Struthio camelus: one gene and its partners. The protein of the gene in region 3 interacts with the protein of the main gene of each other region in a biochemical or structural test. Links are inferred from orthologs where the notes say so. Each region holds a gene or a part of one and is shown on either strand. Other genes may lie near its edges.

Evidence for each region.
Region 1: the proteins of TRIM28 (region 3) and CBX3 form a complex in vitro, tested with the Homo sapiens proteins (2 studies listed by BioGRID). The link is inferred for Struthio camelus from reciprocal best matches to the Homo sapiens genes TRIM28 and CBX3.
Region 2: the proteins of TRIM28 (region 3) and FBP1 form a complex in vitro, tested with the Homo sapiens proteins (2 studies listed by BioGRID). The link is inferred for Struthio camelus from reciprocal best matches to the Homo sapiens genes TRIM28 and FBP1.
Region 4: the proteins of TRIM28 (region 3) and IRF1 form a complex in vitro, tested with the Homo sapiens proteins (2 studies listed by BioGRID). The link is inferred for Struthio camelus from reciprocal best matches to the Homo sapiens genes TRIM28 and IRF1.

Annotation. Positions count from the first base shown.
Region 1 is NC_090943.1:38,642,220-38,649,856, reverse strand, and holds the start of CBX3 (chromobox protein homolog 3), read right to left. Parts: upstream 3,123-7,637; 5' UTR 2,705-3,122; exon of another isoform or gene 2,612-2,704; intron 2,084-2,611; coding exon of another isoform or gene 2,054-2,083; exon of another isoform or gene 1,951-2,053; intron 1,941-1,950; exon of another isoform or gene 1,667-1,940; intron 549-1,666; exon of another isoform or gene 411-548; intron 50-410; 5' UTR 23-49; coding exon 1-22. Other genes in the region: HNRNPA2B1 (heterogeneous nuclear ribonucleoproteins A2/B1), read left to right, coding at 2,054-2,083, 7,449-7,559.
Region 2 is NC_090982.1:32,595,829-32,603,760, reverse strand, and holds the start of FBP1 (fructose-1,6-bisphosphatase 1), read left to right. Parts: upstream 1-4,896; 5' UTR 4,897-4,999; coding exon 5,000-5,169; intron 5,170-5,357; exon of another isoform or gene 5,358-6,995; coding exon of another isoform or gene 6,996-7,006; intron 7,007-7,822; coding exon 7,823-7,932. UniProt on the Homo sapiens protein: Catalyzes the hydrolysis of fructose 1,6-bisphosphate to fructose 6-phosphate in the presence of divalent cations, acting as a rate-limiting enzyme in gluconeogenesis. Plays a role in regulating glucose sensing and insulin secretion of pancreatic beta-cells.
Region 3 is NC_090975.1:272,061-279,525, forward strand, and holds the start of TRIM28 (transcription intermediary factor 1-beta), read left to right. Parts: upstream 1-4,169; 5' UTR 4,170-4,194; coding exon 4,195-4,402; intron 4,403-7,465. Other genes in the region: ZNF324B (zinc finger protein 324B), read left to right, coding at 110-670. UniProt on the Homo sapiens protein: Nuclear corepressor for KRAB domain-containing zinc finger proteins (KRAB-ZFPs).
Region 4 is NC_090954.1:2,453,131-2,460,812, reverse strand, and holds the start of IRF1 (interferon regulatory factor 1), read right to left. Parts: upstream 3,150-7,682; 5' UTR 3,008-3,149; intron 1,712-3,007; 5' UTR 1,707-1,711; coding exon 1,620-1,706; intron 1,492-1,619; coding exon 1,392-1,491; intron 1,201-1,391; coding exon 1,024-1,200; intron 677-1,023; coding exon 627-676; intron 503-626; coding exon 367-502; intron 192-366; coding exon 66-191; intron 1-65. UniProt on the Homo sapiens protein: Transcriptional regulator which displays a remarkable functional diversity in the regulation of cellular responses.

The DNA of each region.
Region 1 (7,637 bases), on a different chromosome or scaffold from region 3:
ATGTAGTTTTATTGGAGGCCATTTTTATTGCAGACTTGCAGAGCTTTTACTAGAAAAATGCATGACAATTAAAAGGAAGTTTACATTACTCAAAGAAAGGCATCCCAATACAAGCATGGTCCTTGTTCCAACCCCCATGTATTCACTGCACATAACACTCCTAATACGGATTAAATCCAGAACAAAAAGTAGGTTACTACTTTGTCCAGCGTAACCCAGTAACACACCGTTATGCTAGCCAGGATACACGATACCGACAAAGTCGTATATAGAGTTGAAAAAAGGTTTTCCCAAGGCCTTCTAAGGCTCAGAGATGTTTCTAGGGAAAAGGGGGAGGACCATCAGGGATGCATATTTCCTTAAACCCAAGAGAAGAAGAGTAGAGATTCTAGCAGTTAATCAAGATATACCTAGATGTATTAACTGCGAATCTGGTGGGGAGCAGCTACATATCTGCAGTGTAATAAGGAGTCACCCATTACTCTTACATAGTAGTAAATGCTTATCAACAGCCAAACGTTATCTTAATGCAACTATAACGTTGCCTTCTGATTTTCAAGTTTGCAAGAGTTAAGGTTCCTATAGCAATACTAACTCAGCAGCTAAGCTGTACATACTATGTATGTAACCTAAGCAAATGATGTTGAACGCGATCCATCCCCTTTTCCACGTCGTTTCTCATACTGGCCACCTCTGTAGGCATGTATTATCCCCGCCTGACTGCAAACTATAGAGCTGTTACAATTTTGCATTTGCCCGGGCAAGGCAAGAGAAGTCCTTCTCCAAGGCCAGAAAGCCTCCTCGGCTCTGCGATCCCGCCCAACTCGCCTCTTATGTGAGAGGGGGGTTTTGGCAGCCCCAAAGGCGGTGGGGTGGGTGAGGTGGGAGGGCAGGGATCAGGGCCCCGGCGCGGTGGGCCATGCCATGTCTCCGTCTGAAAGGCAAGGGAGAGGGGAGAAGCAGCAATTCCCCCCGCCCCCCACCCGAAAATAAAACGGAATAACCCCCGGGAGGCCTGGGGGCGGTGGGGGGGGCAGCGCAGCGGCTCAGGCCTGCGGCGGGCGCAGGCGAGGCGGCCGGGGCCGAGCTAACGGGACTAAGGCGGGCCGGCCCGGGGGAGGGGGGCGAGGGCCGCGGGAGCCGCCCGCCCGCCCGCAGCGCCCTCGCCGCGGGGCCGGGGCCCCCTCGCCGCCCGCCTCCCCCGCCCCCAGCGCCGCCACGTTTCCCCCGGGCCCCGCACGCCGCCGCCCGGAGCCTGGCGCCTGAAGGCGGCGCGGCCGGCCCAGGCCGCCCCCTCGGCGCTGGCGGGCGCGCTTTGTCTGGCGAGCGCGGGGGCCGCCGCCGCCCCCTCATCCCCCCCGCCCCGCCAGCCGAGGGGCCTCCGTGGAAATGCCAGGGCCCCACGAAGCCCCGCTCCTTCCGTTACCCCCCGCCGCCAAGGAAGCGGCAGCGCTCGGCTGAGGGCGGCGGGGGGGGGGGGGAAGGGGGGCGAGGCGGGCTGCCCCCCGCCTTTCCCGCCGTGGCCTTGAGGCGAGGGCCGCGGTGCAGGAGCGCTCCGCGGGGCGCCCGCTCCCCCGTGGCGGGAAGGGGGGGGAGGAGGAGGAGGAGGCGGCGGGGGGGGGGAAGGTTATCGAAGCGAGAGAAAGAGGGAGAGAGAGAAGGATACAGACTTCAATGGTGCTCAAGCCGCTCGGGTTTCCCGTCTCCTCCTCGCTCTCGCCCTGCGCGCACTGAGCAGCGGCGGCAACAGCGACATCTGAGGGGGGTTGAGGCGGGCGAGGGGGGGGTGGGGGAGGGGAAGGGGGAGGGCGGGGCGGCAGCGGCTGGGCGGCAGCGCGGCGCGGCGCGGCGCAGGGCGGGAGGCGGCGGCTGCTGGCGGGGCTGGGCTGGGCGAGCTCTGCGTGCCGGCGACTGACGGGGCAGAGCGCACGACGCCGCCTACGCGCGAGCTGCAACCTCCTCCCGTCGTCGCCGCCAGTACAGGAGGGGGGCCAAGACGTCTCTCCAACGGGGGGCGAGTGCAGGACCGCGTCAAGCGTCCAAAAGAAGGAAGATGCCTCGCGGCGACAGAGAAAGCGACTGGGTGAGCGGGAAGTGGCGGGAGGGGGAAACGGGCCCGGCGGGCCGGTAGCCGCCGCCGCCGCCATGATGATCATCGCCATGAGGGCGTGCTGGGTCGGGGCGGCCGCCGCCCGCCGCAGGGCGAGCGAGGCCTTCAGTCCGTGCGGGGGGGCGCCTGGGGCGATCCCCAGGTGCGGGGAAGGCGGGCAGGGAGCGTTTGAGCGGCTTTGAAGTTCGTTTTGCCGTTGCTGAGGCGGGCCCGGGCCGTTTGGAGCGCGGCCATTTCCCGCGTTGCGGCGAGGCGGCCTAGTCTTGAGCGAGCGCCAGGGAGGGGGGAGGGGAGGGAGGAAAGCGGGAGTTGGAAAGCGGTTGGGGGCCTAGAAAGCCCTTTATTAAGTGGGGGAAACGGGTCCGAGTCAGTTTAGGGTGCTTCGCTCCGGGAGAGGGGTCGCTTCCCGGGGAGCTGGGAGGAGGGGGAGGAGAAGAGGGGGCGGGAAGAAAGGAGCAGCCCTAGCGCCATTTCCCTGGTGCGCGGGGCGGCGGCACTCACCCTTTGTCGCGGTGTGTGCGGGGCCGGTGAAGAGAGAAAAAGGGAGGGAAAGAAAGGAGGAAGGAGAAATAAATGTCTAAGTGAGTGGCTTGCCCGATGGGTTTTCTGTCCGTGTTGCGGGGTAGAGCGGAGCAGGCTGCGGCGAAGTCCGCCTCCCTTCGCTGGCTCTCGGCCCCCGGCGATGTCTCGGTGCTGGCGCCAAAATCTGGGCAGCTATCACTTCCTCCTACCCGGGCGGAGGGGGAAGGGGCCAACCCGCCGACAAAAAGGGGAGATGTCGGGGGCGCGCGTAGGCACCGCGCTGTGCTCCCGCCCGGGCCCTGCCAGTACCACAGGTGGCCGGGGGGGGGGAGTAAAGGTGGGGGGGGGGAACGAGCCCTTTGGCTAATTATAACCCCCTTGCTTTGAGGTTGAGTCTTCGGGGCGGTTCGGCAATTTCCGGAAAAAAAAAAAAAAACCACCCACGACGCGGTGCCAAGTCTGGTCGGGGCCGTTTCGGCTCCGCTCGGGCACGTATTAGAAAGCTCTTCCGTTGTCGGAAACTGCCGAAGGCGCTGTATCGTCGATGGCTGCTGCGTCTTTCTCTCCGGAAATTGCCGAGTGGGATCGGATCGCCATTCTTGTCCGTTTCGGCAAATTCCGGAAATAGCCGAAGCGAATCGAATGGGCTTCCTTTCCTATTTCGGCTTTTTCCGGCGACTGTCGAAGTGGATAAGCTCGACGACGACAGCTCCTTCGGCTCATTCCGGAGACAGCCATTACTAACGGAGTTGATGACTTTTTATTACGTGATTAAAACACATAGGGGCGTTATACAGAACTGTTGCCCCTTTGGAGATATTTAAGCTCCAGATTCGAGCTTTTTGACTAAAACATCGGCAGCGAGTCTGGGCTGGAGAAGGAGGGCGCTAGCACTACGTGGAGCTGAATTTCAAATTACGTAACAGTTAAGGCAGCCATTACTGAGCAGTTGTGCGGTATTCTCAAGCAGGGATACGTAAACCATGAAGAATATGGTATGTGAAAAGGGAAAAATACAGATTCGGCTGTTAGGGAGGGTGGCGTGTCTGGTTGTGGAGATGGAGTGCTTTTTCAGGATCGGGGGGTTAGGAGCAGAGTCGTCCTCGGGCAGCGTAGGTCTGGGTGCTGCTGCCGACCCCCGTTAGCGGCGGCGCGGCTAGCGGCTAGGTGCCTCTCCGCAGAGGAAGCGTTAGCAGGGAGGAAGGTTCTGGAAGCGGCGGTTGGGGCTGGTGCGCACTCGAGAGGGGAGGCGGAAGCTGCGGTAGCTGTGCGTGCGGGTACGAATTCTTAAATCTCCCGACATGTCCTTTAGCTGAGCTGCCGTTAGGGTGGTGCTGCGGGGAAGGGAGAGGGGGACACACACCACTATGGAGGTCAGTTAATGCGCGATCCGGGACTCTACTTTGCCCTGCGGGACGCTGAGCGGCCGGGGTGGCGCTGCTGATAATGGCGGTAACGAGGGGGAGGGGTAAAATGGCGGCGCCGAGACTCGCTCGTGCGTGAGGCTTTCAGGATGAGACCTAGGAGGGGAAAGGGGGTAGGGAGGGAGAGCAGTAGAGGCTGAGAGCCAGGCTGCCGTTGTTATCTTTATGGGAACAGAAAGCAATCGCTTGCAAGCTCTCCCTGGTAAGGCGTGTGTAGCCGGACGCTAGAAGCGGTTTGCAGCGACTGATTTGTGTTTTTCCTGAAGGCCCGAGTGTAACTTAGCTTCTTTATTCTGGCGTCGGTTCTTTGTGAATTTCTTTCCTTCCCGCCGCATCGCTTTCCCTGGAGGCAACGGTTGCTTCTGGGCGCCATTTTCCTCATCTAACTGCGGGGGCCCTTGTTTTCCTGATAGCCGCCACATGGCGGAGCCGGCATGGCAGCCGCTTCACTCCTGATAATACCGGGCTGCGGGGGAAGGGGGAGGACGTAGACTGATGGATCGGAAAGCCATGTAAGAGGTGTTAGGGGCTAACGGGGCGCGACTGCATAGCGAGTGGTTGGAAGTGTCTTTCTGGTTTGGGGCCAGTAAATCTGGGGAAGTGTAATCGCTTGGCAGTTTCCATTTTGGCGGGCAGTGCCAGCTCAGAGATTCCACTTACCTGTTTTGTTAACCGTTTTTGTTACTCGGATTCTTAACTCTGCAGAAGTCTGCAGTCAGCTTGGAGTATTTGTACCCATGCTGTTATGACACGAAACGCACTTACTTGGTCTGGTGATGGATTTTCCAGTGTAGGCTTCATGTTTTCCAGTCCTTTGAAGTGTTGCTTTTAGCCTGTGAAGGAAGGCTTAAAATAAGCCCTAAGGAAGATTTACAGATTTCCAAAAGATTTTCTCTCACAGTTTGTTACTGCGGTAGAATGCACTCTGGAAGTCTTTAAAGGAGTTTTTTTATTCTGTCTTTTATATTAGCTTGCTACCAAATGAGGGTTTTCATGAAGATTCTGAGTGGGACTGGAAGGATAATAGCTTATATCATATGTTTCACAGCTTCAACGTGAACCGTGTAAAAGATTATCAGAGCTCTCTGGATCTTGGTCGTAGGTTAATTCTAGATAGGAATTTGAGCCTCTTAAACAACATTTAATGCAAATAGACTATGTTCAGAGGCTCTGCCTGTATTAGTGGAACAGCATGTTTATGATGTTTTCACACAGTGGTTTTGATTCAAGAAGTGATAGGGTTTTTTTTATTGCTATGTCCTGACATGTATGCGGTGCCTAGATGTTGGTTTTGGGTAGGGCACATGCTGTATGACACTAATACACAGGAGATGATGAATGTGAGAATTCTTAAGAATGCAAGAGTGTTTCATTTTTCTGTTTTATGTTTTTTAGTAATGTATGATACATGTTTGTCCTTTAATAATCAAACCAACTTTTTATGGCTCGTAGCGTTCTTTGCTTGAGTTTCGTTTAAATTTCTGTCGCTGTTTTCACAGATAAACGTTTATGAGAAATATCAGTATGCCTACTGAATTTGCCTGAATTTGCGTATTTCTGTCCTAGTTGCATTATTAGACATGTGGTAATTGATTATACAGGGAGAAGTGTTCTTTTCTGGTCGTGTGAAACTGTAGCAAGTACTTCAGCTCTGCTGCTAGAAAATTAGAGACTAATGTGAAGAGAGAGGTTTTTTTGCAGTATCATTACTTTAAATGATTTCTTAGCTTACTTGGGTTCTTAAATAATAGTATGCATGCCTTGCCACATGTGACTTACCAAATGAGGTATGCACCACCCCTTATTCCATTTAAGAGCTCATAGGAAAGAAACGGTAACGTGGGTTTACCCCTTTTAAGTTATGTTGTGACAAATTTTGCCCATCTGCACAATGAGAAGGTAGCTTCCTTTGTGTTTCTTAGAAAATACTTGGAACCCGCTATAGGATCTAGCGTTTCTGAGTGACACTGAAATTGATTGTTCTCAAATGCAGCATTTATATCAAAATTGTTTTTATGATTGTTGACTTGTTTCTCAGACTGAATGCAGTATCTTCAGCTGGTGATAGTGATCTCTTTTTTTTTTTTTTTTAATCAAAACTGATTCAGTATTGCTTCTAATAATGGTCTTCCTTGTTAATTGATTCTAGATGCTATCTGCTCTGGACAAGCTCAGAAAGCATATTTTGGCCTGCAGGATGATTGGCTAACACTTTTCAAAGTATCTGCACTAGGCTTTTTTGTTTGTTTTCCAAATCTCATTATTTTTCATTGGTTTTCTAATATCCTTTTTGCATTTCTCCTATTGCACAGTGCATAATTAGTTATGGTGTGTTGCTTAGTTGTAGCGAATGGTGGCGTGCTGGAGGTGTTTAAAAAAAAAAAAAAAAAAAAGGTGTTCCTGATTTTAAAATGACTTATCATTATAAGGGTGAAATAGTCATTGTATTCGAACTCTTATTTGGCAGGAGACCTGGCAGGACAGTTATATCTCTTTAGAGCAAGAGTCTGATGTCTTTTAAAGTTTGTGAAATAGGACTATTGTTTGTGTGCGGTTGTTTTTCTTTTTTTTTTTTTTTTTTTAAACCATTGCTGTTTGACGTAGAAAACTACAGAGTGCCTAATCTAGTGACACACTGTCATACAGAAAATGATCTTTTTGATGCCTTACTATATTTTCTTTTTTTTTTTTTTTTTTTTTCAATTGATGGAGGTTGGGAGATTGTTTCTTTCTGCTTTGGTGTATACTGTATGCAAAATAATAGATGTAAAGCCTACTTTATTCTAGTTCCAATGGTGCCCGATCCCAGACCTAGATTAATTTTGCAAATACTCTAGTTTTATACATTTTAAAGAGTTAATAAAGGGAAAATGAATCAATGACCTGTTGTAAAAGGTCTAAAGCTATCTCTTTGTTTTTTAATGTCTTGGGAAAATAGTATGGTTGTATTCATGTGCAGCAAGTTGAGGCAGAACATTTTTTAAAAATATATGCTATCTGGAATAGAATCATACAGTATGAACGGGTTGGTGTTACCTGTAATGAGAACGTTTTGTTAGTTCGCAGCATTGTTTTTCCTGGCACAACCTGAAAAAGCTTCTGATAAGACCTTTGGGAGGATTCCTCTTCTGGGAGTATTTAAATGTAGTCTCTTTTTTAATGTTTGGAGGGAGAGATGGGAAAAGTACATTGTTAAAATCTATATCATAGAATTGCACAAGTTGCTTAATTTCTGGAATAGAAGTCAAACATTGTAGAACCGCCTAATCTTATCTTGAAAAATGCTTTCTACGGAAAGTTTTTAACTCTTAAGAAAATCTCACTGACTGTCTAATTGTGCAGTAGGGGAAATGCTGTAAATTGTATTAATGTAAACTTCTTTTCTGTGATAGAGGGAAAAGGAGCAGTTTCGCAAACTGTTCATTGGTGGCTTAAGCTTTGAAACAACAGAAGAAAGCTTGAGGAACTACTATGAACAATGGGGGAAGCTTACAGATTGTGTGGTAAGTTGGGCATACCAATTCATATAATGATGATATCATACGTTTAGAAAGGATTAAAAATAGATTTTTGTTTCCTGA
Region 2 (7,932 bases), on a different chromosome or scaffold from region 3:
AAAGCATATAAGGTCAAGGCAAAGTTGGTCAGTATGTGTCTTAAGTAACTCCAATGACAGCATCTGTTTCAGATTGCACGATCACTTGCGAATCCCAGTTACCTATTAGGTCCTTCTCCTGTGAAAGACAGCACAGAATGACCGCACATGCCTTACAGTGTATTATGAAAGCAAATGTTTTTGCCATTACAGCCATCAGTAAAGTAAACCTACATGCAAAAATAGTGGGAAATAGTAAGATAAAACCCCATGTTAGATCAGGATACTATAGCTATCTGGTAACTAGTTACTTGAAAAGGATTTTGAGCCACTGCTTGGTGTTCCTATCAAGATCAAATGGACTCTATAGAGCAATCTAAAGTATAGGTTCCTTCTATCCACCTATTACTCCTGTTTTTAAAGTCATATCATCTTGCAGTGATGTCCTATCTGTAGGGGCTTAACTTTCTTGCTGTTTCTTCAGAGCTGACTCAATATGTGCTAGGCATATCCCTTCTCGGCTTTTTTCTATACCGGCTGCAACTGTGTCACAAAAGAAATATCAGGTTAGTAGAGCAAAAGGAAATATGCAGAAAAGGTAACAAACGCAGTTTGTGTATTGCTGAGTTAAATTCTCTTTTCCCCACTTTCTCTCACTCTCTTTCAAACTGTGTGAATTCCCAAAGTAATCAGCCAGCTTTTCGCTCCAGCACGACTTTCCTCTGCAGCCCAGGATAAAGTTTTTTCCTTGATTTTCTTTACTTGCCTGTCTATGTCACAAGGGCATTGTAACGATTCGTTACTGTTCATTCACAGTATGAAAAACTCTGTAAATACTGAATAAAATTAATTTAAAAAATGTAAAAGCTAACAGTCACTTTAAATAGTTTTACTGCCAGTCCTTTGGCATGAAACAGAATACAGCTGGTAAACAAGAAGGGGGAATAACCTTGTAAACAGTCACTCAGCTTCCTTTATTGACCATATATTTCAGAGGCGTAGATAAGAGAATCATTTATGATTACCATGTTCCATTCCTTTAGCATACGCTATAGTTTGGACCTCACTAATGTAACATATTCAAGACACCTTCATCACACTGCAGATTAAGCTGGAAAAGCCAAACACTGCTTCATCTGTACTTTTACAGAATAAAAATGAGCTGGGATTTGGAAGAAAAGACTTTCTGTTGTTCTGATAAACATTTGAGGTTATCTGGAAGTCCTGAACTGAAGCAAATAAAGTTAAAATTACCAGAGCTGAACAAAAGCCCAAGCAAGACCTCCACAGTTGAACCTCTGCAGTACCGCTCATTTAAATCATCCTAAGCAACAGGATATTAAAAATTTGAACAATTTGAGCTATTGTTTTCAGCAAAGCAACATAACTGGTTATGGTCCTGTAGCTAAATCTACAAGGACATTAATGGGATATCTGCCCTAGAAATCTAACCCCGGATCAGGGTCTGAGAGCAGAATTTGACCTTTTGTATCACATGCTCTTCCTCCGGCCATCTTGAATTTTAGATGTCATCATCTAATCATGACATTATGCCCCTTGGTGGTTGTAAAACTTATTTTTTTTCCTGCCAAGTAGACAGTTAAAGAAGATAAGTCCACTCTTTGATAGCACTGTAGTTTAGTACAGAGTACATCGAAGTCTCTTCAGGTTATTCTTTTAGCAGTTCCTGAAGTAAACTAAAGTAAAAGTTCCTAAAGTAAACTTGGAGTTGTTACTGTAAATATTTTTTCTGGATATGTTATATGACATTTTAAAAGGGAAGTATTAGCATGTATAATATTCAGGTAGCATATTCTTTGCTCTGCTTGCCTGGTAGAGTCTTGTGGATAGGTAACAAATACAGAAATTAAAAACCGACAATAAAGATGACAATATTTGTATTTCACAGGCACATAGAATTCCTTTTCAGAATCAATTTTATGCATATTAAGCGCTCTGTCAACGTATAGAAAAACGGAGATGTGCTCTCCTAAGAGTCCGCCCTCACAATAAAGTACTAAAAACGTTTACATGCTACTGACACAAGAGGGCAGCATACAGGCGTGCTACGGGAAAACCCTTTACCGCAGAATATCATCAGCTTTATAGTTCGATTGTGCTTATCGATCATAGCAAAATTCATACAAACTGGCAGAATAATTTAATGTGTCATTATCAGATAAATGCCATTTTACAGCTACCGTACCGAGAAAACTTTTTTCCACAAATTTTCACCTTTAATTGTGTCCTTTTGAAGTTGTGTGCCTGTGCCCAGAGATGTGCTATGCTTTGCTATGGCCGTCATAAATATGTATTTTAGGAGGCTGGCCTGGCGTGGGAAATTCACGCAGGAGAAGGGAAACACTTTATGAAGCAAAGGAGCCAAAAGTCTGGTTGTCTAGCTAGAAATCACACTGGCAGATCTGTCTCCAATGGCAGGCAACGGCCAGCCTCAGTCCTCCCCTGCGTCAGGATCTAAAGCTGCCATTCCCACATGGATGCTTTCCTTCAGGATAAAAGGGCCTTTTGGGGAGGCTTTAATTCCCACTATCTTTTTGCTTGTCATTTGAAGCTACCAGAGGCAACCTTCATAATAAAATACCTGGGGATTATGTCATCACCATGTGTCTTATTTTCATAATCATTACACAATAGGGATTTTGCATACAGGGAGAAAAGCTGTTTTCAAAAAAGTTGTGTGTTTTGGATGCTTACAGTTCTGAAAAACTGTGAACTGTGTCTAGCTGAATGTCATCTGCTCGCAAACAAGGTTGCGTTTTCTTCTATACAGGAGCAAAATGTTTTGGCAATGTTTAATCAGCCAGCACTGACCTTTCTTCCCCAGCGCCACACATTTGTTCTCGATAAATGTTTAACTACTGATTTCTAAGGGGAAATGCTCACAACACGTAGAACCTAATTCAGAGCTTACACTGATTTAACATTACCAAATAGCATGGTTGCTGTAGGGTTGCATATGCGTTTTAGAGGTTAAAAACTCATTCTGTGTTCCCAGGGTCTTGTGACACTTTGGGCAGGACAAGTAAATCTCCAGGCAGTCTGTTTCCTTATTCATTTGGCTTCAGTTATCTGTCTGTATTCTCCCAAGATACGTGAAAATACTGACCATGAGGCAAAAATTAAGCCCATAATATAATGCTGGCTGAAGCGAGTGACTTTTTTTTTTAACATTTGCCTGTTTGAGAATAGATCACAATAAACCACGGGTTTGCCTATACTGCAGTCTCTGGCTAGCACAGACAAACTTAGCCAGATAAGTTGGGTTTAGCTAGACAAGCCCAGTTCTCAGAGCAGGGAACTGACTGTGTGTCACAGATCCTGCCCCAAAAGTTGGATGTGAAACCACTATCTTTTCAAATGACTGCTGTTTCAATCTGCAGCTTGCTTATTTGTGCCTGGTTTCCACGATATGAGTGGAAGTGGTAAAAAGTCTTGCCCCTTCGTCTCCCCCACTGCAAAAGGGCAAAGGTTTCAGCTCAGAAACTGGGGAGAATAGGCAGAGTACTGGAGGTGAAAAAGGCTCCTTCTCTTCAGGCATGGATTTCATAAAAAAAAATTTAGGTTGCAAGTGTTTTACACGGATCTTGACTATTTTATCCTGAAGTACAGATTTCTCTGCAGGATAGGATACTGATGTATTTTATGGGGTCCTTATAAAAAAGGTAAGTTATTCCAAATAAATAGTTCTTCTGTTACTGTGGGTCATACGTTCCTAGACTCCTCTGTCCTACCCAGTTTAAGTGCACTCATCTAAACTTCTGTGTGATGTTTGATGTTGTCTTTCTCTATTATTCTGGCTGATGTAGCTGCAGTGGACCTGGCTGATGTAGCTGCCGTGGACAGCTGTAAAGCATTATTTACCTTTAAAGAAAGAGCTAATATCAATCCTTTGTAAATTTTCCAAAATCCACCTCCCTCTCCTGGAACTCTTTTGAAGTGCTGGGCTGGTACCACTTACCAAAGACTAAAAGGTCCCGTTGCAAAGAGCATTACAGCTATTTACAACTAATAGTTTCAGAATTGCATGTACTTCTGGGCATGCCTAAGTTAGGCCAAAGTTATATGCACCTGGAGAAGGCATTCACACATACCTCTGAGGTAAGCAATGTGTGGATATACAGTGTGCTTGCATATGTAAAGAGGTGCACACTTTTAAATGATTTTTGCCTGGTGCTTGGCACCACCTGGAACAATTTCAGTCTGCAGTTTGGGTTCGGGGATTTGAGACTGGGCTTATCCAAATCACTGATATATTCTAACAGAAAGTAATCAAAATGTCTTGGATACATCTCCTTAATTATACAGACATAAAATGATGGGTAATATAAATATAAATATAAATCTACATGGCAACAAAAGGATAACCCATATCCATATTTGTACTTTTCAAATTATTGTGTGTCAGGGTGTATGTAGGATGAGATGTGGAGAGAACTTGCTTTCTGCTATGCGTCAAAAGTTTTGGATTAGTCACCTAGCGTTCTGGATCTGGCAAAACCTACGTTTTTGTGACGGTACGCTGCATTGCACTGAGACGTGGCTGGATTTTTTTTTCTTTTTCTTTTTTTCTTTTTTGATCAAACAGCAGCAAGAAAACATATCGTTTGATCTCACTGCACCGTCAGGGAGGCGGGGTCAAAGCGCTGGTACTCAGCGGGGTCTGGGCTCCTAGGTACGTTGTGCAGCAGCATTTGTGTGGCTTGCGCTCGTTCCTGGCTTTGGGAGAGCGGGACTGGAGGGACAGGCTCCTGCTGCCGGACCGCTCCGGGGAGCCTGCCGTAAAAACCTGCCCGGGCCGCTGCGCCGGTGCGCGCGGAAACCGGGCGGCCGGGGGGCCGGGCCGCGCCGGGGACGCGCGCAGGGGGCGGGGCCAGGCCGCGGGTGCCCCGCCCCCGGCCCCGCCCCCGGCCCGGGGCTATCGCCGGCGGCGGCGGCGGCGGCGGCGGGCCCACTCGTCCCGGGGCGGCGGCACGGGCACGGCGGGCAGGACGACGGCACCATGGCGGACCGCTCCGCCTTCGACACCGACGTGATCACCATGACCCGCTTCGTGATGGAGGAAGGGCGGCGCGCCAGGGGCACCGGCGAGTTCACCCAGCTCCTCAACTCCCTCTGCACCGCCGTCAAGGCCATCTCCAGCGCCGTGCGCAAGGCCGGCATCGCCAACCTGTGAGTGACACCGGCCCCGCCGCCCTCCCCGGCGCTCCCCCGGCCTCTCTCCCTCCTCAGCAGCTCAAAACCTCTCGCCCACCTCACGCCGCGAACCCTTCCCCCCCGCCATCCCGAGCTGACGCCTGTAGCGTCCCAGGCTCCGGCTTTTCCCCGGCAGAAATGGGTTTTGTCACCTTTTTTAATAGGTAAAGGCGCGCCGACTCGCGCAGGTGGCTGCGGCTGGTAGGTCTTCGTGCAGACACCTCCAGCAGGTCGAGACGCTTCGGACCCGAAGACCAAACAGACTGAAAGTTGAAGCCTGGCAAAATAGGGCTGAACTGTTATTATTCGTTGTAGGCAAGAACTTGATATCGAAGCACCGTTTTCATGCTATAGGGAGTTTAATCAAATTCGGGTTTGTTTTGTTTTGTTTCATTTTTTGCTTTTGCCACATTGTGCCCTAGCAACCTGAGTTTTTCTGTGACACCCTGGAAGTCTCCGGCCTATAAATAAATGGTCTCTGCAAGGACCAGCAGTGTCTGTAGTCAGTCAGGCAGAGCTGATACCGAGGGGGATTGCTCTGGAGGAAGGAAAATGTGAGGAAAGGATTTTGGAAGGAAATGAGAGCTCTTGAAATGGTAGATAGCTGAAGCCAGTCTAGGGCAACTGATTCTCCCATGTATTTTGCATATTGTTGATAAGCCACATAATATGCTGATCAGGGGTTTAGACGCAAGCTGCCTCATTACTTAAAGAAAAAAGTAATAGCAAGAAAACAAATTTGCCTCTACAGACCATACAGTGGAAAATAAATTAAGTAAAATGCCTCTAGCAAAACAGAGTAACACTTTTTACAAAATACATCAGTATCTTAGTATCAGCAAGCTGAAAGATTTGGTGACTGAAGCTGGCAGAACAGAAGCAATTGCACAAGCAAATTACAATAGCTCACTCTATATAATTTAAAGTATCTTTTGCTGTCTTGACTTCAAATCTCATCTGATATGCTTGGCACAGTTTTATAGTCGCTACATGCTAGCCCCTTCCTAAGCCTTTTATGCTACAGTCCCAACAGCAGAGAGTAGGGTTTCCTTCCACCGCCAACTTGTAACCTTCCTTGGCCCCATTCCTTGTGCCTCCTCTCTGTGTTTCCATGGCTTTGCTGAGGTGTCCGTGGGTCCGATACCTGAGCTGCTATCCTGGCCTCACTACCCTCCAAGGTGGATGGTATTTTCTTCCCCGGGACAACCAGCTTTGGACTTGCGAGCCTCCTCAGGCAGGCGAAGCGCAGCTCCCACCGTGGGACTGTGTTTCCTGACCAGCGGTGGGATTTTCCTGTCTCAGGCACTGCCGAGTGACACATGACCTGACCATCGGAGAGCGCAGAGCAGCAGGGATTGCCGGGCCCATTTCTTGGGGTGGCCCCCAGCCTGGCCGTGAAGGTGGTGATGAGCTGCTGCCACCGCCGTGGCCACCGCTCCTTCCCGCTGCAGGCTCCATACAAGCTGCCCACTGCCCTCTGCGCTCCCCAGGGGCTGGGCACCCAGATTTGGCCATGTGAAGGTTTTGCTCTCAGGATGAGAGCCCCCCCGGCTCCAAAGTGTGACATTTAAAGTCTAATGTTTTCTAAAACATTGCAGAAAAATGCTCAAGCCGCTGTAGCAGAGAAGGAGAGAGAATTTTGCTGGATCTTTCACTTTTTCTTATGCATCAGATTGAAGAAATGCAGTACATTTCTTCAATTCTAAATACATCCTGGTCAGCTGTATTGCGAGAAAAAAAAAAAAGAGAGAAAGAAAAAGAAAAAAAAAGAAATACCAGTATTCAGTATTCAGCTCTCACCAATGTATCGCAGGTAAGCTTAAGTAAGAGCCATCGGTGTGCCTGCGCAGAGCTAGGTACGGCTTTTCTCTTTTACGACGTAATCCATAACCCAAACTTCCTTTGTCTGTGTGTGTTTTCACTATTGCCTATCGCGAGCTCTGCTGGTACTTCCTGGTGCTGAGTGCTGGGTTCAGACTAACCAGCCGGAAATCAGCTGGCTGATTTCTTTTTTTTTTTTGTTTGTTTGGCACTTGTGTTTCTCAGTCTTATTCGCAAATAAACACTTACAACTTAAAAACAAAGCTAGAAACATTATAGCATAAAAATGTTGATTTAACCTCTGAACAAAAGGTTTGTGCCCATATTTGTACAGGGTATTGCTAACCATAACCAATATAGTCAGATGCATTGTTACTTTTTAAGTATAGACTTTCTAGTGAGATCTTAGCTTTTAAAGCAGCTACGATGTGGCAGCCAAGGTTGTAGGGGCAGTATTTGGGTCTTAAGAGGCAACAGCTAATTTAATAGCGTGATTATAATCCAGTCCTCGTAGCGTGCTCTGGCTGGGTTTGCCTATAGTTTGGGGACTATTCACGCGTGATTCCTTTTTTGCATTCCTCATGTTCAGTGTATTCCAGCCTTGCTACCACAGCTCGTGTTAGCAGGTCTCAGCAAGAACTTATCAGCTGGTAAATAAAAGGAGGCTTACAGACCTGAGATATCACTCAGAAGAGTTGTTTGTTTCACAAGACTTTTCTACGAGCCTAAGCCTGCTAGAAGTGGGGTACTTTGGGAGACAGAGCGCCCAGTTTTTACAAAATGCTCTTCTCTCTTTCCATCGCTTTAGCTATGGAATTGCTGGTTCTACCAATGTGACAGGAGACCAAGTGAAGAAGCTGGATATCCTTTCCAATGATCTCGTGATTAATATGCTCAAGTCATCCTTCAGCACCTGTG
Region 3 (7,465 bases):
TTCGGGGCAGCGCGAGGAGGGAGGGGAACGCAGGGCCAACCGCAGGCAGCCCAGTAACCCCAGTTTGTGCCGCTCTCTCCTCGCCCAGGCCCGAGGAGGCGCCGGCGCCATGGGCGAGAAGCCCAACGCGTGCCCGTACTGCGGCAAAGGTTTCCGCTGGAGCTCCCACCTGACGCGGCACCTGGGCACGCACGGAGGCGGCGGGCCGGGCCCGGAGCGCGCCGGCACGCCGCCGGCACCGCCGCCGCCGCGGCCTTACGCTTGCGAGCGCTGCGGCAAAGCCTTCGGGCGCAGCGCCCACCTGGCCCGCCACCGCGAGACCCACTCGGGCGAGCGGCCCTACCGCTGCGGCTGCTGCGGCAAAGCCTTCCGCCGCAGCGCCCACCTCACCCGCCACCGCGGCACCCACACGGGCGAGCGGCCCTTCGCCTGCGGCCTCTGCGGCAAAGCCTTCACCCGCGCCGCCCACCTCACCCGCCACCGCCTCACCCACACGGGCGAGCGGCCCTTCGCCTGCGGCGACTGCGGCAAGAGCTTCGCCCGCGCCGCCCACCTCACCCGCCACCGCGCCACCCACACCGGCGAGCGGCCCCACAAGTGCGCCGGCTGCGGCAAGGCCTTCGCCGCCGCCGCCCACCTCCTGCGGCACCAGCGCACCCACCGCGCCTAGACGCCCGCCCCGCGCTCCTTTTTTTCCCCCCTCCTTCTCCGCTCTTTTTCGCCGGGGGCGAAGAAGGGAGGGAGAAAACCCAGCGCCCCTTCCCGGGCCCGTTGCCTCCGTCCGGGCTGCCCCGTGCTGGTTTTTTCCCCCCCCGCCCCACCGCTGCGGGGGGGTATTCGGACTCACCCTTCTGCCCTGCCGTCGACCGGTGGGGGAAAACCCTTTCTGTTTCCCTTCCGTAAAGCCTCCCGGAGTCCCGGGATCGGGGCAAAAATCGAGGCTTTTCGCTCAGCACCATCTCAGTAGCTCTCCAGCGGGGCTCATCCAACCGGTTTCTCGTCTCCGCGCGAGGAAGCTCCTGATTTAGCGGCGGAGCGTCCCCTCCGCCACCCAAAGGCGTCTTAGCCCCTCCGGGACTCACTGCGCTCAGCCTCTCCGAAGGGCTCCCCGCTTTCTCGCCGGCCCCGCTGGAGGAAGACTCGAGGAAGACTCCGGCTCGAGGAAGTCGAGGTCGGCGTTGCCTCGTGCCGGTGGCCGCCAGGAAAACCAGGAGGCGAGAGACTTTTTTTAAGACAGTCGCCTCGGCGGTTTTTCCGGGTGGTACCGGCGGCGCGGCGGGGCGAGCTCTTCCCTGCCGCGTCCTCCTGTCGCGTCTCTCCGGAGCGAAGCACCCGCGGCCGACGCTCGTCGTCGTCCGGTGCCGCCTGAGCGAAGGTCTCGAGACGGTTCTCTCCTGAGCGGCCTTCCCGGAGCATTTCTCGCTCTTTCTCAAGACAGCCCCCTCCTGAGCCGGGTTTTGGTGGTTTTTCTTTTTGTTTTTTGTGATTTTTGTGTGAATTTTCCATATGAATTTCCAGCGTCCTTATCTTTAGCTCGGGGTGTCGTCTCTCTCCCCGCCGGGAACGGCCTCACAGCCTCCGCTCTCCTCCTCGGGGCCGGTCCCACATCCACGCCCGGTCGCTCGCTCGGCCCCTGGGATCCCGAAAACATCGCTCTCGGGGTGCGAGGGAGGACGGGAGCAGACAAGACTTTGCCGGGGGTGACCCTTGGCTGCGGCGGAGCAGCTTTGAGGACTCAAAGCTCCTTTAGAGACCCCCCAATGTCTTCTCTGTGGGTAAAAGAAGGCGTTAAAATGATTGAGAAGCGAAAGCGGGGCAGAATTAGGTGGGTAGAGGGAGCCGATGGGCGCCCTGGTTTGTGAACAGCGCCCGAGGGAGGCTGTTTGCCCCGGGCTAGTCGCCTTCCGGGGTTGCCAGGGTGGGAACAGAGGCTGAGGGAGTCGCCCGGGGGCTGTCCTGTGCACGGCCGGCCAGGTCCGAGGGCTTCTCCCTGCCCAGCGGGGCCAGGCGAGGCTTGCAGTGATTGTGGGGGGACACTGGGCATCCGGACCCGGCAAGGCCCAGGTTCAGGTCTAAGCCCACATCCAGGCCTAGGCCAAAGCCCTGACCGGGGCCCAAACCCATTCCCACACTTGGGCCAAGGCCCGGGCTCTTGTCTATGTCCAAGCCCAGATGCAGGCCCACATCCATGACCAGATTCAGGCCCAGGGCCACGTCCAGGCCCAGATCCAGGGTTAGACCCAGGCCCAGGCGCCTGCCCATGTCCAAGACCACGTCCACACCCAGCCCCAGGATGAAGATCTTGTCCACGCTCACGACTAGGCTCACATCCAGCCTCAGACCCAGCCTCAGGCCCAAATCCAGGCCCAGGCCCATGTCCCAGCCCTGACCCAGGTCCCAAGCCCCAAGCCAGGGCCTAGGCCTGGGCCCACATCATGGCCAGGCCCAGATCCAGGCCCAAGCCCCAAGCCCCAAGCCCCAAGCCCCAAGCCAGGGCCTAGGCCCACATCATGGCCAGGCCCAGATCCAGGTCCAAGCCCCAAGCCCCAAGCCAGGGCCTAGGCCTAGGCCCACATCGTGGCCAGGCCCAGATCCAGGCCCAGATCCAGGCCCAAGCCCCAAGCCCCAAGCCCCAAGCCAGGGCCTAGGCCCACATCATGGCCAGGCCCAGATCCAGGTCCAAGCCCCAAGCCCCAAGCCAGGGCCTAGGCCCACATCGTGGCCAGGCCCAGATCCAGGTCCAAGCCCCAAGCCCCAAGCCAGGGCCTAGGCCTGGGCCCACATCGTGGCCAGGCCCAGATCCAGGCCCAAGCCCCAAGCCCCAAGCCAGGGCCTAGGCCTGGGCCCACATCGTGGCCAGGCCCAGATCCAGGCCCAAGCCCCAAGCCCCAAGCCCCAAGCCAGGGCCTAGGCCCACATCATGGCCAGGCCCAGATCCAGGTCCAAGCCCCAAGCCCCAAGCCAGGGCCTAGGCCTAGGCCCACATCGTGGCCAGGCCCAGATCCAGGCCCAGATCCAGGCCCAAGCCCCAAGCCCCAAGCCCCAAGCCAGGGCCTAGGCCCACATCATGGCCAGGCCCAGATCCAGGTCCAAGCCCCAAGCCCCAAGCCAGGGCCTAGGCCCACATCGTGGCCAGGCCCAGATCCAGGTCCAAGCCCCAAGCCCCAAGCCAGGGCCTAGGCCTGGGCCCACATCGTGGCCAGGCCCAGATCCAGGCCCAAGCCCCAAGCCCCAAGCCAGGGCCTAGGCCCACATCATGGCCAGGCCCAGATCCAGGCCCAAGCCCCAAGCCCCAAGCCAGGGCCTAGGCCCACATCATGGCCAGGCCCAGATCCAGGTCCAAGCCCCAAGCCCCAAGCCAGGGCCTAGGCCCACATCATGCCCGGGCCCGGGCCCGGGCCCAGGCCCAACACACATCCAGACCCAGGCCCTGCCCCGTGAGAGCCCTGCCCTAGCCACAGCCATCGACTTTGCCCTCGGGCCGCCCCACCCCGGAGCCACTCCCGCCATTACTCCCTCCTGGCCACCAGAGGCAAACCGGAGTGACTCTGGATCGGGGAGGAGCCCCCCCCGTAAGGTATTTTAGAAGATGATTGGCTCAACAAGGTGTCAGTCAGAGCGACTGCCCCGCCTCCTGGAGGGCTGTGGCTGTCGATTGGCTGAGCGCCACGTTCATCTTTAAGACTCCGCCTTCCCTGTGGTGATTCGGTCGGTGATTGGTCTAGAGCCTGCCCCCTCTCCGGGCTTTGAGACAGCTTTCGCCCTGGAAGCCTAGCGGGGGGAGGGAAGCGCTTAGAGGAAGAGGATTGGCCTCCACGCCCTGTCAATCCTCGCTCTCCGGACGCCTATTGGGCTTCAGTTGCTGCCTCGCGCTGTTGAGCGAGCTGATTGGCCCGTCTCCCTTTAACCCCCGCCTCTCCGCGGTCGCGTGCAGGCGGGCCCTTCCCGCCTCTTTCCGTTTTCCCGCCTTCCCCGCCAACGCGCGCCTCCCATTGCCTCACCGCCCCGTCACTCCCCCGCAGACCCCGCCCCCCCTCGCCCCCTCCGCGGGCGCTGATTGGCGGAGGCGGGCGGCCGAGCCGAGCCGGGCTGCGCGCGCAGCTCGCCGTGGCGCGCGAGCCCCCCCCACCTCCCCCCCCCCGGTGCGGGGGGTCGAGCTGGAGTGGGGGGGGGAGCGGCGGCGGCGGCGCCGCCATGTCGGGGCCGGCGGTCGAGGCGGGCGGCCCCGGCGAGGCGCGCTCGGACTCGCTGGACCTGCTGGAGCGCTGCGGCGTGTGCCGGGAGCGGCTGCGGGCCGAGCGGGAGCCGCGGCTGCTGCCCTGCCTCCACTCCGTCTGCCGGCCCTGCCTGCGGGCCGAGCCGGGCCCCGCCGCTCCGCCGGCCGCCGCCAAGGAGGGGCCAGGTGGGGGCGGCGGGCACCGGGGGGAGGCGAGCTCACGGGGTGGGGGCGGCGAGGCCCCTGGGTAACCGGGGGGGGGCGTCGAGAGCCCGGGCTAACCGGGGGGGGGCGGTGAGGCCCCTGGGTAACCGGGGGGGGGCGTCGAGAGCCCGGGCTAACCGGGGGGGGGCGGTGAGGCCCCTGGGTAACCGGGGGGGGGCGTCGAGAGCCCGGGCTAACCGGGGGGGGGCGGTGAGGCCCCTGGGTAACCAGGGGGGGGGCAGTGAGGGCCCGGGCTAACTGGGGGGGGGGGTTGAGGCCCCTGGGTAACTGCGGGGGGGGGGGCGGTGAGGCCCCTGGGTAACCGGGGGGGGGCGTCGAGAGCCCGGGCTAACCGGGGGGGGGCGGTGAGGCCCCTGGGTAACCGGGGGGGGGGGCGGCGAGGGCCCGGGCTAACCGGGGGGGGGGTGGCGAGGCCCCTGGGTAACCGGGGGGGGGGGCAGTGAGGGCCCGGGCTAACTGGAGGGGGGGCGCCGAGGCCCCTGGGTAAGCGGGGGGGGGGGGGCGGCGAGGCCCCTGGGTAACCGGGGGGGGTAGTGAGGGCCCGGGCTAACCGGGGGGGGGGTGGCGAGGCCCCTGGGTAACCGGGGGGGGGCAGTGAGGGCCCGGGCTAACCGGGGGGGGGGTGGCGAGGCCCCTGGGTAACCGGGGGGGGGGGCAGTGAGGGCCCGGGCTAACCGGGGGGGGGGTGGCGAGGCCCCTGGGTAACCGAGGGGGGGGCGGTGAGGGCCCGGGCTAACCGGGGGGGGGCGGCGAGGCCCCTGGGTAACTGCGGGGGGGGGTGGCGAGGGCCCGGGCTAACCGGGGGGGGGGTGGCGAGGCCCCTGGGTAACTGCGGGGGGGGGTGGCGAGGGCCCGGGCTAACCGGGGGGGGGGGTGGCGAGGCCCCTGGGTAACCGGGGGGGGGGCGGTGAGGGCCCGGGCTAACGGGGGGGGGGAGGACTACAAAGGCCCAGGCTAATATGGGTGGGGGGGCGGCGAGGCCCCCGGCTAATGGGGTGGGGTGGGGGAGCAGTGAGGCCCCGGAATAACGGGGGCGAGGAGGGGGTGGCCAGGCCCCGGGCTAACTGGGGGGGGGGGGGCGATGAGAGCCTGGGCTAACTGGGGTGGGGAGCGATGAGGGCCTGGGCTAACTGGGGTGGGGAGCGATGAGGGTCTGGGGTAATGGGGGGTGAGGGGGGGGGCGGTGAGGCCCCGGGTCGACGGGGGGTGAGAGGGGGTGGCGAGGGCCTGGGCTAACGTGGGGGGGGGGGGAAGACTGCAAAGGCCCAGGTCGACGGGGGTGAGAGGGGGGGCGGCGAGGCGAGGCCCTGGGGTAACGGGGGGCGAGAGGGGGGGCGGCGAGGCCCCGGGGTAACGGGTGCGAGGGGGGGGGGGCGAGGCCCTGGGGTAATGGGGGGTGGGGGGGGGCGGCGAGGCCCCACGGTACTGCCGGAGGGGGGTTATGCAAGGGGAAAACGTTGCGCTGGGCTGTGCCGGGGTGGGGGGGGGGGAAGGTTGCCTGCGAGCGGCAGCAGGGGCCAGGCCAGCCGGGGAGGGGTGCGCGGGCCGGGCCCTGCAGCCGTCCGCAGGTCAGGAAGGGGCGGCGGGGGGGGGGGCGTAGGCGGCGCGAGGGCGCTGGGGTGAGGCAGGGTGGGCGTGCGAGGCTCGCGCGGGTGCTAAGCCGGGCAACGGAGGAGTAGATGGGTGCTCTTGATGCCCTTGGGTTCCCTGAGGGCTCCAACACCAATGAGCTCTTCCCAGAAAGCTGGTCCGTGTTTCCGGAGGTGGTTTGGGATGTCGGGTGGACCTTTAGGTCCCCTTTCACCAGCTCCCTTGGCCGCTCCCTGAACGTGCTGTGCTTGGTGGCTTCTGCTGGCCTCATCCCAGTTTGACACCGGCTTGTACCAGGAAGCTCCCAACTGCCCTGTGGCCCTGTTGGCCTTGCCCGGATGCCTGGGTCCTTCCCAGCGTGGTGTTGTCCCGCTCGTGGCAGAGCTTGGCGTTGCTCGTGGTCGCCTCTATGGAGGTTTCTCACCCCAGTCCTGGAGCCCCATTCTTTTCTTTCCCCTTGCCTTGGCATCTGCCAGGCAGAGAAGTTTCTGGAGAGATCAGAAGCGCTGCTTCCTCTCGCTGCCACCTGTGGTAGATGGTATCTCAACGGTCGCAGGTGGCTTACCCTTTCTCAAAGCCCTGGAGAGGAAGAGGAGGAGGAAGGGTAGACCGGTGGCTGCTTGGCTGTTGGTGGCAGAGCTGGGGGAGGCGGCGAGGGGTGCCTGATGTGGCTTCTGGTTGAGGAGGTTCAAGTTGGGCATCTGGAGAAAGTTCTTTGTCTGGAGGGGACCAGAGCAGTTGTGGGTTTCCGTCCTTAGAGGTTTGGCTAGGTGAAGCTGTCAGCGACCTAGTGCGGTGTTGGCAATGGTCCTGCTTTGGTTGAGGTTGGTGCAGGAACCCCTGGAAGCCCCGACCCTCCTGCCCCGGTGAGGTCAGCTGGGGAGAGACCCAGGGATGTGGTGGGCCTCTGTCTTTAGAGGTCTTCAAGGTTTGCGTGTGACCATGAGGGACCTGATCCAGGTGGACCCGTTTTGGCCTGGGGTTGGACCAGCAAGGTCCCCTCTGCCCTGCCCCAAGCAGGAATGGGTCCTGGTGAGTCTCCATCCGTGGAGGTATGCATCCTATGCGGAACCTGGTCTGTACTGGTCCTGCATTGGGCTCAGATTGGAGCAAGGACCCGCAGAGGTCCCGTGCAGCCAAAATCAGTGCTGACGAGTCCTCTTTGGATCTCCTGGCGTGACGGGGCACCCAGAGCATGCTTCTGCATGAAAAGTTTGGTTTCGGAGTGAAGTTTTCAGCTTGGCCTCGACAGCCATCCCATTTTTGAGGGTTTCTTAGCTCAGCGGTCAGATATCCAGGGCATCTTCCCGGCTGCTCCGGGTTCTTCCTTCTCGCCTTCCATTGGATGGGCTCTGCTGCCAAAAAACTCGTGGGAGAGGTTGCCTCCAGGCTGGGCTTCTCGGTCAGCCCCGGCGACCCATCTCTGCCGCCGCG
Region 4 (7,682 bases), on a different chromosome or scaffold from region 3:
CTGCTAGAGCAAGGCTATTTCCAGTAGACTGATGAAAGACTGGGGAGGGGGGAAGCAATACCAACCTTCTGAGGACGAAGCTGGGGGGGACACCTGGAGCTGGTAGAGGTCGTTGGTGCTGTCGGCCATGGCAATTTCCATGGGCGTCCTCCAGTCGGTCAGGGAGCAGTTCACCTCGCAGGGCGAGAGGTCTGCGGGGACACACCAGAGTCGGGCTTCAGAGCAGGCACACACCACCCTCTCTCCCCACCACCTGGTTCACGCCATCCCTACAGAAAGCTGCCAACACCTTTTGGTGCTGAGCTTGTTGCTTTAGCCTGAACAGCAATTGCCACTCTGCTCAGAGTGCTAAAAATTGAATCTCACCTAAGGTGATGGATGTGCTCTCCACTTCCACTTCCTGGCCCGTGTAGCCATGTACTGTGTAACCACTGTGGTCGTCCGGTAGAGTAGTACTGGTTAGACTTTCTACTGACTCCTCTGTCTTCATGTCTTCATACGACTACAAAAATAAGGGCAAGGCATGAGATACTTGTCTAAGAATGTACAAGTTCCCATATGAAAAAAATTAAGCAAGAAAACCACCAAAACCTCTAGCTTCTTCAGCTGCTTCCACACACACATACCTTTCTTTTGCTCCTGTTTCTTGCTTCTCTTGATGACTTTGACTTCCTTTCTGTTAAATAAAAATAAGACCAATATGAGAAAGGGCTTCACAGCCAACGTTTTACGTGAGTATGAACCATTGCAGCTCTGAGCAAAGTCCTGCTCTGCAGAAGTGAATCCTGGTCGCTTCCTAATGATCCCTTTTAGGTATGTTTTAAGAATTTGGGATAAAATGAACAGTTTGTACAAACTGTTACTGTACGTGTGCAACGTGTTACTGATAGCAATAACCGGTGACTAACCCCAGTAACAGTGTTGCTACCAGCAGCTCTGCTGCAAGTGGGGCAGGAAATTCAAGCAGTGTTTGAAGTGCAGCAGCAGGGCCTGCTCGCCCCGGCTGGCTTCCCGCGTGCTTACCTTTCTTCTGATCCTTCGTCAGGGGCGGCAGCATTCGGTACACTCTGACTGCACTGGAGCCTTTGTTGATGCTTTTGTCCTTCACTTCTTCAATATCGGGCAAGGAGTTCATAGCACAGCGGAAGTTTGCTTTCCAGGTTTTAGGGTCAGGGTCTTTCTCACCTATTTTATATCTTCCTATAAATAAGAAATAGTGTGAACATTCAGACTTTTGATTGCAGTGGTTGTTCTTCCTGCAAGGAAATAATCTTTTTCTATTTTTCTCTTTAAAAAGTTAATTTGATAACCTGAACTGTAAATCAAGACAGAATAAGCTGCCCTACTTGAGGTATCCATCTGACAGATAAAATCTTAAAGCCAGCACGCACCTGTATGAATAGCCCAGCTCCGGAAGAGGCAGGCATCCTTCTCCATGTCCCAGCCATGCTTAGCTGCATGTTTCCAAGGGATCTGAAACATCATCTTATCCTGAAGTTAAACCAATAAGAGTTTTGAATTAAAAAAGGAGATTCCTCACGTGCCAATTTATAATGATGAATTGAATCAGAGATTACTCAGTAGCAGCATAGATAGGTTTTGGTTGCAAAAAATCTCACCTTGTTAATCCATGTCAGTCCCGGTATTTGATTGGAATTAATCTGCATTTCCAGCCAGGGCCTCATGCGCATTCTTGACACTGGCATGTTGTCTATGGAAGAAATAATAGCTCAGCAAAAAAGTATTCATTCTGGACCACATGCATGCTGCCGGCGACCTCCGCCTCCCTTCATCCCCTCTGCTGCTGCGCTGGCTACTGCTCACGCTGCCAGTGCGACCAAAACTTTCTCAGCATCTTTCATCTGCTTCCGAATCACAGTCTCGCTCGCTCTAGCTGGATTATCATGTAACACTAGCTGCAGTTTTGAGCTCTGGAGGCAGCAGCAGGCCCGCAAGAAGTGCCGTGAGGGAACTTTTTGTGACCCAGCCTGCAAGAGAATGAGCCTAGCCTCAACCTCTGCCTGGCAGGAGGCAGCTCTGCTCCCAGCACCAACGGATCAACACTGGCTTGCAGCTTTCCCGGGAAAAAGTGGGAGGTGGGTGATGCTGGATGGCAAGAGGTAGCGAGGGGCTGCTCGCTTGCCTGCACGGTCCCTGCACGCTGCTGGCTGCGGCCACAGTACAGAGCCCCAGGCGCTGCAGCCATCGCACTGTGCTGTTAGTAGCACTAACTGCACACTCGCTTTCTTGAGTCTTATCTGCTTAGTTGCGCAAAAGGAAAAAGAGAAAGCTGGGCTGCAAGGGACTCCTAATTAGCAAAATAAGCCCCACCATCAAAACTGCGCCTCTTAACGCTGCGGTCCGAGGCCGCTTCCCCGCCGCTGACACGAAGTGCGACAGAGGCAGTTTGCTATCAACCCTTCCTCTGCATAAATATATTTCCTGTTTTTGCTTCCCCCCCCCCCCCCCCCCCAGATAGACACACCAGCATTTCCAAAACAATAGCGCGCCAAGTTCCCCGAGGCGGGCACCGCGCCGGGCGGGGGCAGCGGGCGGGAGCGCTGCCGGCGGCGACGGGCTCCGCCAGTTCCCCGCGGCGGGGGCGCCGCCGCGGCCCGGCCCGGCCCGACCCGGCCCGACCCGGCCCTCTCACCTCCCGCCCCCGCGCGGCGCGGATGGCCCGGCCCGGCCCGGCCCGGTTACGTAAGGGGCCGCGGCGCCGCCGCCCGCTGCCCGCCGGGGGATGCCCGGCGCCCCCCGACGGCACAGATCCGCCGGCAGCGCACCGGCCCCGAGCTGCCCCCGGCTGTCGACAACCGCCCCGCCGGCGCGGCGCCCGCCCGCGCACCGCCTCCGCATGGTCAAGGCCAGCGCTGCAGCGAGCCGAGCCGAGCCCCGGGGCCGCTCCCACGGCCCCTGCCCGCCCTTTGCGGAGCGCCTCCCCGCCCGGAGCCCCGGCGCCGTGCAGCGCGAGAGGCGGAAGGGGGAGGTGGGGACCGCCACCCACCTCGCCGCGCTGTGCCGAGCCGAGCCGTGCTGAGCCGAGCCGTGAGAAGCCGAGCCGAGCCGAGCCGAGCCGAGCCGAGCCGAGCCGTCCGCGCCTGCCGCCCGCCGACCCGCCTCTGCGGCCCGCGGGGCGCGCCCTCGGGTTTAGCGCGGCGGCGCCCGGGATTCCCCGCCGCCCCGGGCACGGGCAGCGCTGCGGCCAATCAGCGCCGCCGCGAGGGGCGGTCGCGCCGCCCATTGGCTGCCGCCGCCAGCATCACTTCGGGGAAATCAGGCTGTTGTTGCACTAGCGGCGCGGGGGGGAGCGCCGGCCTCCCCCCAACTCCGCACCGCTCGCCCCGCCCCCTCGCTGTTCGCCCCGCCCCCCCCGCCCCGGCCGGGGTCCCCCCCCCCCCGCCGCTTCCCCCGTCGTAGGGCTGGCGGGGCCGTCGGGGCGCTCGGCCCGGCCGGCAGCGGGGCGGCCCCGGGAGCACGGGCAGGGTCGGGCCCCCGAGGGCAGGGCCTCGCGTGGGGGCTCCACACCGCTCGCGGTGGAGGGTGAGGTTGGCCCCGCAGCCCCTTGGGAGAGCATGGCCCCACGGGGGCACTGAGCCCCACGGCCCACGAGGGTCCCGCGCCCCACAGCATCACAGAATCACAGCACGGTTGAGGTTGGAAGGGACCTCTGGAGATCATCTAGTCCAACCTCCCTGCTCCAGCACGGTCGCCTAGGGCACGCTGCACAGGACTGTGGCCAGACAGCTTTGGAAGGAGGCTCCAAAGCTCCAGGGAAGGAGGCTCCACAACCCCCCGGGCAACCTGCTCCAGGGCTCCGTCACCCTCACAGGAAAGGAGTTTTTCCTCATGTTCAGACGGAGCTGCCTGTGGTTCACGTTGTGCCCGTTGCCTCTCGTCCTGTCACTGGGCACCACGGAGAAGAGTCTGGCCCCATCCTCTTGACACCCTCCCTTCAGAGACACATACACATTGATCAGATTCCCCCCTGAGCCTTCTCTGCTCCGGGCTGAATAGTCCCAGCTCCCTCAGCCTTTCCTCATCTTAGGAGAGATGCTCCAGGCCCTTCATCATCTTCTCCGCCCGCCGCTGGGCTCACTCCACGACCTCCATGTCTCTCTTGTAGTGGGGAGCCCAGAATTGGACACAGTAGTCCAGGTGAGGCCCCACCAGGGCTGAGCAGAGGGGGACGATCACCTCCCTCCACCTGCTGGCAACACTCTGCCTCATGCACCCCAGGAGACCATTGGCCTTCCCGGCCACGAGGCCACATTGCACTCCCAGGGCCTTCTCGGCAGAGCTGCTTGCCAGCAGGTCAACCCCCAGCCTGTCCTGGTGCCTGGGGTTATTCCGCCCCCGGTGCGGGACCCTGCACTTGCCTTTGTGGAACTTCAGGAGGTTCCTCTCCGCCCGGCTCTCCAGCCTGTCCACGTCCCTCTGAATGGCACCACAGCCCTCTGGTGTGTCAGCCACTGCTCCTAGTTTTGCATGATCAGCAAACTTGCTGAGGAGGCACTGTGTCCCTTCGTCCAGGTCACTGATGAATGTGTTGAACAAGACTGGAGCCACTACTGACCCCTGGGGGACACCTCTAACTACAGGCTTCCAACTAGACTGCACCGCTGATCACGGCCCTCCGAGCTCTGTCACCCAGCCAGTTCTCAATCCATCTCACTGTCCACTTATCTAACCCACACTTCCTGAGCTTACCTAGGAGGATGTGGTGGGAGACCGTGTCTAAAGCCTTGCTGAAGCCAACGTAGACAACATCCACTGCTCTCCTCTCATCTGCGCAGCCAGTCGTCCCATCATAGAAGGCTACCAGGTTGGTCAAGCATCATTTCCCTTTGGTGAATCCGTGCTGACTACTGCTGATCACCTTCTTGTCCTTCACATGCTTAGAGATGGCCTCCAGGATGAGCTGTTCCATCACTTTTCCAGGGATGGAGGTGAGGCTGACAGGCCTGTAGTTTCCTGGCTCCTCCTTCTTGCCCTTTTTGAAGACTGGAGTGACATTTGCTATCTTGTAGTCCTCAGGCACCTCGCCTGTTGTCCATGTCTTTTCAAAGATGATATAGGGTGGCCTAGCAATGATGTCTGCCAGCTCCCTCAGCACTCGTGGGGGGCATCTTATCAGGGCCCATGGACTTGTGAGTGTCACGTTTGCCTAAATGATCTCTAACTTGATCTTCCTCGACCAAGGCAGAGTCTTTCTTTCTCCAGACTTTCTCCCTGATTTCCAGGGTCTGGGATTCTTTAGGGCTGGCCTTAGCAGTAAAGACTCAAGCAAAGAAGGCATTCAGCAGCTCTGCCTTCTCTGTATCCTCTGTCGCCTCGACCCCTGCCCCATTCAGCAGCGGGCCCACGTTTTCCCTAGTCTTCCTTTTGCTATTTGATGTGTTTGAAGAAGCCCTTCTTGTTGTCCTTGACATCCCTTGCCAGATTTAATTCCAAATGGGCCTTAGGGCCTTAGCCTTCCTCGTCACATTCCTGCATACTCTGACAACGTTCCTATATTCCTCCCAAGTGGCCTGTCCCTGATTCCACCTCCTGTACACTTCCTGCTTATGTTTGAGCTTTGCCAGGAGCTTCTTGTTCATCCGTGCAGGTCTCCTGCCCCCTTTGCTCAACTTCTTGCTCATAGGGATGCACTGTTATGGAGCTTGGAGGAGGTGATGCTTGAATATTGACCAGCTTTCTTGGACCCCTCTTCCTTCTACAGCCTGATCTCATGGGATTCTTCCAAGAAGATCCCTGAAGAGGCCAAAGTTTGCTCTCCTGAAGTCCAGGGTTGGGATCCTACTTATTGCCCTACTTCCTCCTCGCAGGATCCTGAACTCCACCATCTTGTGGTCACTGCAGCCAAGGCTGCCCCCAGCCTTCACATCTCCAACCAGCCCTTCCTTGTTTGTTAGTACAAGGTCCAGCAGCATACCTTTCCTCGTTGGCTCAGCCCTACAGCCGATGAGGGTCCCACACCCCACAGGATGCTCAGCCCCATGACACATGCTTCCTTGGCAGCAGGGCCGGCACTGTCACCCCCTGATGCGCTTCCTGGAGCAGAGGAGCAGCCACCTGGAGTGGCTGTCGCCACCGATGTGGCATGAGCACCCCAACATGAAGACTTGAAGATTTTTTGCCAGCCCATAGTGACACTAATAAATTAGGAAAGGAAGTAAGTAAAATGCAGGCTCCAGCCGAGACTATTTTTAGCCAAACGGGAATTCGGCCAGGACTTGGGCTGCTCTTTACGAACTTGATGTGAAGTTTCCGTCTCTCAGTGCCATCTTTGAGCTGCCGAGTCCCACGCAACGCAATTGCGGGACCCCAGATCGGTAGCGACTCCAAACTACTCTCGTTTACTGTCTCCTATTGAGAAGGGGGTCCAAACCTGTATTTTTATTTATTGGGTGCCAGTCATTTCCAGAAGGGATGCAGTAAGGCTTGGAGTAATAGGAGCAATGGTGGGTGGTGGAAGCAGAGTTGATATCAAATGAAATGAAACATGTGAAAATTATCAGGGATGTTGCTGATCATCTCTTCTACATTTATGTTTTTGTAGCATGTGGTGGCCGGCGTGCAACCAGCTGTCCGGTGTCCACCTGACTCCTCCAAATGGTGCAAGCAGACGTACAGAAGTGTAGTGCTGCCATTGTCGAACGTGCACTAACTGCGTGGCTAAAAGCAGCAGGGCGCCGGAGTCCCCCGAGCAATCCCCGGGCACGCTGCGCCGCAGCTGAGTCACAGGACACAGGTCCCCTCTGCTTTCGGCAGATGACTTTTGTGGTAAAACGCGGTACCACGTACGTTGACTGGCTGTTCTCTGCAGTTCATTTAGAAGCCTGGACAGCCTAAACTGGGCTCCTTGGCATAATCACAGCTGTAATCTAGTCTCCTTTCAGTGCCTTTTCTCAAAAAACTCCCAACTGAGGTCTGGTCTTGGCCACTCCATTGTAGGTGTTCTTCATTTTTGTAACATAAAAGTTAAAGAAAACCTCAAACCTGGATTTAAAGGCAGGAAAGCAAAAACAAAGACAAAAACCCTGTAAGTGTCAGTGCTTTCGCTAAAGTCATTTTTGTCTGTTTCATGCTCTTGTGCGGTAGCGGCGTCCTCCAGGCAGGCCTTTGCAGGCACCCTTCCCCAGCGCACTTACAGCGTAGATAAATACTAGGCAGGTTAAACAAATAATCAGAGAAGGAGAGAGGTAGACGGCCAAGGCAGGGATAGCCCGAGGATGTGTACAATGCATAGTCCGTGCGAGAGCATAAAGTCATTTTTCCGTGTAAGGTATTCAGAAATAGTAGTCAGACATAACATAGAGATGTAACCCGGAAAGGGGATGACAGAGTGTGTTTGAGGTTCCAATGCAAAAGTCATCTACAGAAATAGTCACAACCCCTTTTATACAACCTAAGTGTAGATAAAAGACCAGCTTGTAGTTCCTTACAAGCTCCAGCCTCCCATGGTGTGTTTGTTTCCCTCTCAGGCACCTTTAAGAAAAATTCGGTCTGAGCTTCCTGGTCTGGTGGGACAGCATGTGTATAAGGTAAAGATATCTTAAGTACTTTAAAGGACTAAATTTTGAACAACGTCTTGTTTGATATATGACTTGGATACTGTTGTGTTACTTATGGACTATTTTCGGTTTTTATTATCAGAAGATATTGGCATCAGGCATCAA